Linked DNA regions of Macaca fascicularis. The protein of the gene in region 1 purifies or fractionates together with the protein of each later gene. This does not show direct contact. Links are inferred from orthologs where the notes say so. Each region holds a gene or a part of one and is shown in the gene's direction. Other genes may lie near its edges.

Region 1 (4,222 bases):
GCTGAGTTCTAGCTGCAACAGCATATTTTAAAACATAAACATGTAAGGTGTTTGCCAGTATGTAATAAATACATAAGGCTTTTAAATTTCTTTTCTCAGAAGAAGAAAGTCAAACAAAATCAAAGCAGCAGGACAGTGATAAACTGAACTCCCTCAGCGTTCCTTCAGTTTCAAAACGAGTAGTGCTGGGTGATTCAGTCAGTACAGGAACAACTGACCAGCAGGGTGGTGTGGCCGAGGTAAAGGGGACCCAACTGGGAGACAAATTGGACTCTTTCATTAAACCACCTGAGTGCAGTAATGATGTCAACCTTGAGCTCCGGCAGCGGAACAGAGGGGACTTGACAGCGGACTCAGTCCAGAGGGGTGCCCGCCATGGCCTAGAGCAGTACCTTTCCAGATTCGAAGAAGCAATGAAGCTAAGGAAACAGCTGATTAGTGAAAAACCCAGTCAAGAGGATGGAAGTACAACAGAAGAATTTGACTCTTTTCGAATATTTAGATTGGTGGGATGTGCTCTTCTTGCTCTTGGAGTCAGAGCTTTTGTTTGCAAATACTTGGTAAGAAAAGATCTGTAAATTATTAACTAACTTAATGGAAAATGCAAAATGTTAATAATTATGAGTGCTTTTGACCCATAGAAGTCATTGCCAAAATTAATATCTACCGGATCCATGTGGCTGTTTGAAGATACATTATTAACTTTGCTATTCATCTTATAGAATGAAGTGTTCTGGTTAAATACAGAGCCTAATAATTATTGTTGGTCCTCCATATCAGTTGGTTCTGCACCCTATGTGGATTCAACCAACTGTGGATTGAAAGTATTTGGATTTAGCCGGGCGTGGTGGTGCACGCCTGTAATCCCAGTTACTTGGGAGGCTGAGGCAGGAGAATTGCTTGAACCCGGCAGGCAGAGGTTGCAGTGAGCCAGGATAATGCCACTGCACTCCAGCCTGGGTGACAGAGTGAGACCCTCCCTGTCTCAAAAATAATATGTATGTGTATATATTTGGGGAAAAAATAATACAATAATAACAAATAATAAATAATACAAATAAAGGCTGGGCGCGGTGGCTCAAGCCTGTAATCCCAGCACTTTGGGAGGCCGAGACGGGCGGATCACAAGGTCAGGAGATCGAGACCATCCTGGCTAACCTGGTGAAACCCCATCTCTACTAAAAAATACAAAAAACTAGCCGGGCGAGGTGGCGGGCGCCTGTAGTCCCAGCTACTCGGGAGGCTGAGGCAGGAGAACCGCGTGAACCTGGGAGGCGGAGCTTGCAGTGATCTGAGATCTGGCCACTGCACTCCAGCCTGGGCCACAGAGCGAGACTCCGTCTCAAAAAAAAAAAAAAATAAATAAATAAATAAATAATACAAATAAAAACAGTATAACAACTATTTACATTGTATTAGGCATAAAAAAATCTAGAAATGATTTCAAGTATATGGGAGGAATTGAGTAGGTTATATGCAAATACTATGCCATTTTACATAAGGGACTTGAGCATCTATCAGGAGGAACCTGGTACCAGTCCTCTGCAGATACTGAGGGATGACTCTACTGAAACCCTTTTTTCATGCTACGGACCCTTCTCATTGCTTTGCGTATATTAATTCATCTAATCCTCATTCTTATGAACTTGGTATTATTTGAATCCATTGGGAAATGAAGACTCAGAGAGGTTAAATCATTTGCCGAAGGTCACACAGCTACTAAGTGATGCTGGGATTAAACCTTAGCAGTTTCATTCTTTAACCAAAGGGTTAAGTGCTTTACATATATATATATACTGTATATTATCAATTTTCAAATAATTTGAAATAGTAAAATGCAGTTCCTGTGGTCCTGAATATGAGGTAAATTTCCTATGGTTCAGAAGACATTTCAGCATTTCTTTTTTTTTTTTGAGACGGAGTCTCGCTCTGTCGCCCAGGCTGGAGTGCAGTGGCCGGATCTCAGCTCACTGCAAGCTCCGCCTCCCGGGTTTATGCCATTCTCCTGCCTCAGCCTCCCGAGTAGCTGGGACTACAGGCGCCCGCCACCTCGCCCGGCTAGTTTTTTGTATTTTTTTTTAGTAGAGACGGGGTTTCACCGTGTTAGCCAGGATGGTCTCGATCTCCTGACCTCATGATCCACCCGTCTCGGCCTCCCAAAGTGCTGGGATTACAGGCTTGAGCCACCGCGCCCGGCCAGCATTTCTTAATGTAGTGTCATAATGAGTCCATTTTGGTTGTACCATGATGTGGTTATTTTGTTTTACAGTATATTGAAGAATACAGAAAAGCATAGCTCATAGTTCAGTGTCTTGCACTGAGGTTTTTCCATTCAGTAGACATTTTAGGTATATGTACCAGGCACATAAATAAATTATCCAGATAATTAAAGTTTATATCATTAAGCAAAACAGTTTTTTTTAATCTTTTTTTTTTTTTTTTTTTTTTTTTTGAGATGGAGTTTCTGTCGCCTAGGCTGGAGTGCAGTGGTGCAATCTCGGCTCACTGCAATGTCCACCTCCTGGGTTCAAGTGATTCTCCTGCCTTAGCCTCCTGAGTAGCTGGGACTACAGGCACGTGCCACCATGCACGGCTAATTTTTTGTATTTTTAGTAGAGACGGGGTTTCATCGTGTTAGCCAGGATGGTCTCGATGTCGTGACCTCGTGATCTGCCCACCACTGCCTCCCAAAGTGCTGGGATTACAGGCGTGAGCCACCGTGCCTGGCCTAAAATCTATTTTTATGCAGATGTTTTCATAAATAGAACCTGTTGAACAGATTTTATTTGTTTTTCCTTGATAATAACTTGTCAACATAGTTTGCTATAATGCAAAGATCGGTGATGCTTTCAGCATTTAATGAGCTGCCTCTTTTTTGTCTCTATCTGAAGGGCTCTGTGCTTTCATGCTTTTAATGTTATGCCTATTTTTGTGTGAATTTTTTTGTTTTGGTTTTCTGGGTTTTGTTGCTATCAGAGTTTCAACTGTTTCTTACTGCTGTCACCATACTGCCATCTAGTAACGTTTGCTCCTTCACTCACTTCTTAATGGTTTCATTTTAAAAGTAGTTATGAGGGGCTGGGCACAGTGGCTCATGCCTGTAATCCCACCATGCCCAGCTAATTTTTTAGCAGAGATAGGGTTTCACCTTGTCAGCCAGGATGGTCATCTCGATCTCTTGACCTCGTGATCCGCCCATCTCTGCTTCCCAAAGTGCTAGGATTACAGGCATGAGCCACCATGCCCAGCCAAGCATTTAGTTTTGTTGTTGTTTAAAACGTTTTAGAGATAGGATCTTGCTGTGGTGCCCAGGCTGGACTAGAACTTCTGGGCTCAAGCAGTCCTCCTGCCTCAGCCTTCTGCATAGCTGGAAGAATGCCATCTATTTTGAGTGCTGGGCCTTGTCTGTGTGCTTCCTGGATGTCAATTAATTCCCTCTGGGTGACGGAGATGTTACTGCATGATGTGTTAAACATCTGTCACTATTTAATACTTTAAATAATTTAAAAGATGAGTTTTTATGAGAGAAGACAGTTTTGGGGACACTAAAAGAATGTGAAAGAATTGTATGACCTGAGAAACATATTTTATGTTAGGAAATCAAATCTTTTATTTTCTTCACCCTTCTGAGGAAACAAGATTACTTTTAACCATTAAAATTACTATTTTATGGGAGACTGAGGCAGGAGAATTGCTTGGACCCAGGAGGCAGAGGTCACAGTGAGCCGAGATTGCGTCACTGCACTCCAGCCTGGGCGACAGAATGAGACTCCGTCTTAAAAAAAAAAAAGTAATTGCCAGGCGAAGTGACTCACACCTGTAATCCCAGCATGTTGGGAGTCCGAGGTGGGTTGATCACATGAGGTCAGGAGTTGTAGACCATCCTGGCCAACATGGTGAAACCCTGTCTCTACTAAAAATACAAAAATTAGCCAGGCATGGTGGCGGGCGCTTGTAACCCCATCTACTTGGAAGGCTGAGGCACCAGCATCACTTGAACCTGAGAGGTGGATGTTGCTGTGAACCAAGATCGTGCCACTGCACTCAGACTGGGTGACAGAGGAAGACTCTGTCTCAAAAAATAATAATAACAATTTTTTTTACAGCTTGTGCTTGGAATTTTATAGCTGCTGTTTGATTTATTGTAATTTGAATGATTATGTTGGAAATATTTAATTTTATCTTCTATCTTCACAGTCCATATTTGCTCCATTTCTTACTT
Region 2 (4,679 bases), on another chromosome or scaffold:
ACTCTCCACCTGCCCGCGTCCTCCTCGTCTTTCAGTTTCTTCCTAAGGGCCCATGGGCTTTCTTTGGTTTTTACGTTCCTCTCACTCTGCCTTTGGCTGTTTCTGGGCCTCCCATCTCCTGGGAGGTTTCAGAGGATGGGGAAGACACAGGAGTGTAGTCGCCATGCAGTGCAATATGGGCTGTAGTGTTCATCCTCCATGGCCTTTATTGAGGACTTACTGTGTGCCAAGAACCTGCTCTAAGAACGTAACTGTGCTCCCTCACTTCATGCTCATAACCACTTGTGAGACGGGCAATGTTCTCATCCTTTTTTTTTTTTTTTTTTTTTTTTTTGGAGATGGAGTCTCTGTTGCCCAGGCTGGAGTGCAATGGCATGATCTCGGCTCATTGCAACCTCCGCCTTGCAGGTTCAAGCCATTCTCCTGCCTCAGCCTCCCAAATAGCTGGGACTACAGGCACAGACTGGGACTACAGGCCACCACACCTGGCTAATTTTTTTGTTTTTTGTTTTTTGTTTTTTAGTAGAGATGGAATTTCATCATGTTGCCCAGGGTGGTCTCGAATTCCTGAACTCAGACAATCCACTCACCTTGGCCTCCCAAAGTGCTAGGATTACAGGCGTGAGCCATCAGGCCCGACCTCATCCTTGTTTTACACAGAGAACATGGAGGCACAGAGGAGTTCCATAAATTGCCACCAAGGCCTTCCACTGGTGTGCAGCAGAGTCAAGATTCAAACCCAGGCTGTCTGGCCCTGGGGTCCAGCCTCTCCAGTGCTCTGCTAGGTGCTGGACAGGGTCAACGAGACACAGAGAATGAGCACCACCTGACAGACTGGGACAGTCAGGGACGGCTTCCTGGAGGAGGTGACACCTCAATGGAGCCTTGAGGGAAGAGCAGGAGGGGCTGACCAGGCAATGAATAGAATAAGTATAACCAGGAAGAGGGAAAAGCCTGAGTGTTGCTGGGAGGCTGGAGAGCTGGCCTGGCTTGGGGTGTGTGCCAGGGGGGCAGGACCAAGGGATGGCCAGGGCCAGATCTAGAAAAGCCTGGGCCATCCCATAGTCAATACCTCATCGCAAGGCCCGGCAGGCCTTCCACTGCTCTGTGTGTACCCCATGGGACGCCAGGAGCCTGGGCTGCAGCCACCCACCTGGGCTCCTTAGACCCAGTGCACAGGCATGGGGGCGGGAGTGGGTGTGGCTGATTTACATCCAACAGGTTGAGGGGAAAACCCAGGAAGTGCAGCCCAGGCACTAATCAAATCTAAGACTAATAATAAGCATCCTGAGTAATGAGTGGCCTGGGCCGGAGCAGGCGAGGTGGCCGGAGCCGTGTGGACCAGGAGGAGCGGTGTGAGTAGCCGGGCAGGAGGGCAGGAGGGCAGGAGGGCAGGAGGGCAGGTGTGAGGTGTGAGGAGGGTTGGGCCTCAGTGCTGTGGGGGTTGGCAGTGTCTGGTGGGTGCAAGGCCCACAGCAGATCCACACACTGGGGCAGTCCCAGCCTCCCAAGCCCCGGCACATGGAGAGCCCTGGATCTGGATGCCTCTGGGGTGTGGGGCTTGCCTTCCGGGAGAGAAGCCATCGAGGCTGCAGGGTTGGCCACACCAGCAGGAATTCCCTTTGTCACCACGGCCCTCTGGACACCCCCTATTTTCCCCCTTACATGCCCGCTGGACCATTTTAATGCTAATCTCAAACACCAGATTGTTTGATTTGTAGAGACCACAGGATCTATTCCTTAAGAACACAAACTCTAAAACCAAAACAAAAAACGAAGCATCATACCATCACCCCTGCTGAAACAACAATTCCTGAACATCATCACATAGCCCGCCAGGGTTCAAACTGCCCCGACTATCTCATCTATGTCTTTCTCAGTTGATTTGTTCAAATCAGCCTGGCCCACATTAGACTTTTGGCTATGTTTTAATCTATAACAGTTTCCGCCCATTTTTTCCTCGGTTATTTATTTGTTGACAAAATTGGACTATTTATCCTATAGTTTTTTTTTTGTTTTTTTTGAGACAGAGTCTTGCTCTGTCACCCAGGCTGGAGTCAATGGCCTGATCTTGGCTTGCTACAACCTCCGCCTCCAGGGTTCAAGCTATTCTCCTGCCTCAGCCTCCCAAGTGACTGAGATTATAGGTGCTCACCACCACGCCCGGTTAATTTTTTGTATTTTTAGTAGAGATAGGCTTTCGCCATGTTGGCCAGTCTGGTCTCAAACTCCTGACCTCAGGTAATCTACCTGCCTCAGCCTCCCAAAGTGCTGGGATTACAGGCGTGAGCCACGGTGCCCGGCCCTTATAGCATTTTTATCAGAGTGAGTTTCTAAGGTTTTATGAAAGGGCCCCAGGTCCGTCACTGTGCAGACAGAACCCATGGCCAGATGGACCGGGGCACAGCCTAGATTCACAGCCTCTCCCTGCTGCTCTGTCCTACACCCCAGGCAGGGAGCAAATCTGTTCTCCCATCCTCTTTTGTGTCCAGCCACCATGTCCCCAGAATCTACCAAGTCAGGGGCTCAAATACATAAAGTTTCTGAGAGACTTGGACAAGGCAGTGACCAGAGGCTGCCTTGACACAGGATGAAATTGCCCAGGCCTCTGGCACCACGAGTCAGGACGCAGCTAGAACTGTGACCTGGCAGTGGCAGCAGCTGTCTGGTGCTGCCGAATCAGCCCTGAGCCACTCTGGGACCTTGGCTGAGCCGCTTCCCCTCAGTGTAAAATGAAGTAGACTGTCTTTCCTACCAGACATCCCTCAAAAACACAACAGTGCTTTGATGAAACTACCAGACCCCCTCTTGGGGAGTCACAAGGAAAGGCTCTGAGAAGACCTGCAGTTAAAAGAAATGCCTTGACTTTCTTTAACCCAGTGTTTTTCAAACTAATTTGATCACAGAGATCTTTCTTGGTATAGCACCTGTTAACCAGCCAAGCACGTGAGGAGGGACAAGCAGAGGGCTCTGATAATCACCCTCCTTGGCTGCTGTCTGGTCTCGGGATGCAGGAGAGAGTTTCCATCTTGCATCCAAATTTGTGGCGGCCCAGAGTGTGAGCCCAGCCCACAGAGCTAGTGTCAGATAGGAGTTCCCTTTCTTCCCTTTCCGTCAATGGAGCTTCTCTCTCAAGCTTCTATTCTGCCTGGCTGGTGTCAGTCATGGGGTTTTCCCACCCTCCTTTGGCACTTGATGATGGTTCTGGGATTTTATGTAGGTCCATATGGTGGTAGAGGAGGGGGCAGGGACAGGCCCACTGGTCAGCTTGGCATCTGCCATCTGGTCAGTCAGGCTCCATCTCTCCTTCAGGTCCAGTGGCTTTGGTGGCTTCCAGGCAATGAATGGGTCTTGGAACCTCTCCAAAGCTGCCCTTGTCACATAGAACCTCCTGCCCACCTTCCACTCAACCAACCCTTCACGGTGATATGCGGTGGGTGGCGGCTTTCTCCCTCTTTGCTCTTCCACCCAAATATGGGGAGAATCAGGGGTCTGTCTTTAATTTTGTTTGATCTTTTGATTTTAGATTTGCTTTTGAATAGATAGTATAGTCAGATGGTTTGAAACCCAGAAAGTATTGAAAGATATATAATAGAAAGTCTTTTTTTCTCCTTGTCCTCCATCTGCCAAGTTCCCACCTCCCCTAGAATAAGTAGCTTTATTTACATATAACTTACATGCCGTGAAATTCACCTGTGTAAAGTGTACAAGTCTGTGTTTTTGGTATATTTACAGAGTTGTGCAACCATCCCCGTAAGCTAATTTTAGAACATTTCGATGACCCCAAAAAGAAACTTTGTCAGTCTTCATTCCTCCCTAGCCCCAGGCTAATCTACTCTCTGTCTCTATAGATTTGCCTATTTTGGACATTTTCCATAAATGGAATCATATGTGGTGTATTGTGACTAGCTGTTTCCACTTGGCATAATGTTTTCAAGGGCCGTCCAAGTTGTAGCAGGTATCAGTACTTCCTTCAGTTTTGTGGCTAAATCACATTCCATTTTATGGATATATCATGTGGCTTATCCAGTCATCGGTGGATGGACATTTGGGATGTTTCTACTTTTTGTCACTGTGATTATTAACAATGCTTCTATGAACTTTTGGGTTTAAGTTTTAAGTGAACATGTCTTCTTTTCTCTTAGACGGATACCTACAAGTGGAATTGCTGGGTCATATGATACATTCTATGTTTAACATTTAAAGGAACTGCCAAATGCTTTCCAAAGTGGCTGCACTATTTTATAATTCACTTCAGGCACGAAGGTTCTGATTTCTCCACGTCTTCACTGACGCTTGTCATTGACCGTCTTTCTCATTCTAGCCATCCCAGGGGGTGTGAGGTGGTATCTCACTGTGGTTTGGATTTGCATTTCCCTAGTGACAAATGATGTTGAGCATCTTTTGCATGTGCTTTTTGGCCATTTATATGTTTTTTGGGGGAAAATGTCTATGGAAATAGTCCATATAAAAATTGGGTTATTTGTCTTTTCATTATTCTGTTATAAGCATTCTTTATATATTTTGGATACAAGCTCCTTATGAGGTATAAGATTTGTAACTATTTTCTCCAAGTTTGTGGATTGTCTTTTTACTTTCTTCATGGTTTTCTTTGGAGCACAAAAGTTTTCATTTTGATTAAGTTCAATTTTGATCAATCTTCTCTTCTATCACATGCA

The links. Proteins that work in one complex are often made in the same cells at the same time.
Region 2: the proteins of CAMLG (region 1) and TNFRSF13B purify together in Homo sapiens (affinity purification with western blotting; 3 studies listed by BioGRID and IntAct, with this or other methods). This does not show direct contact. The link is inferred for Macaca fascicularis from reciprocal best matches to the Homo sapiens genes CAMLG and TNFRSF13B.

The regions. Positions count from the first base shown.
Region 1 is NC_088380.1:141,281,924-141,286,145, forward strand, and holds part of CAMLG (guided entry of tail-anchored proteins factor CAMLG), read left to right. Parts: intron 1-99; coding exon 100-560; intron 561-4,197; coding exon 4,198-4,222. UniProt on the Homo sapiens protein: Required for the post-translational delivery of tail-anchored (TA) proteins to the endoplasmic reticulum.
Region 2 is NC_088390.1:17,064,397-17,069,075, reverse strand, and holds the start of TNFRSF13B (tumor necrosis factor receptor superfamily member 13B), read left to right. Parts: upstream 1-1,289; 5' UTR 1,290-1,294; coding exon 1,295-1,355; intron 1,356-4,679. UniProt on the Homo sapiens protein: Receptor for TNFSF13/APRIL and TNFSF13B/TALL1/BAFF/BLYS that binds both ligands with similar high affinity. Mediates calcineurin-dependent activation of NF-AT, as well as activation of NF-kappa-B and AP-1.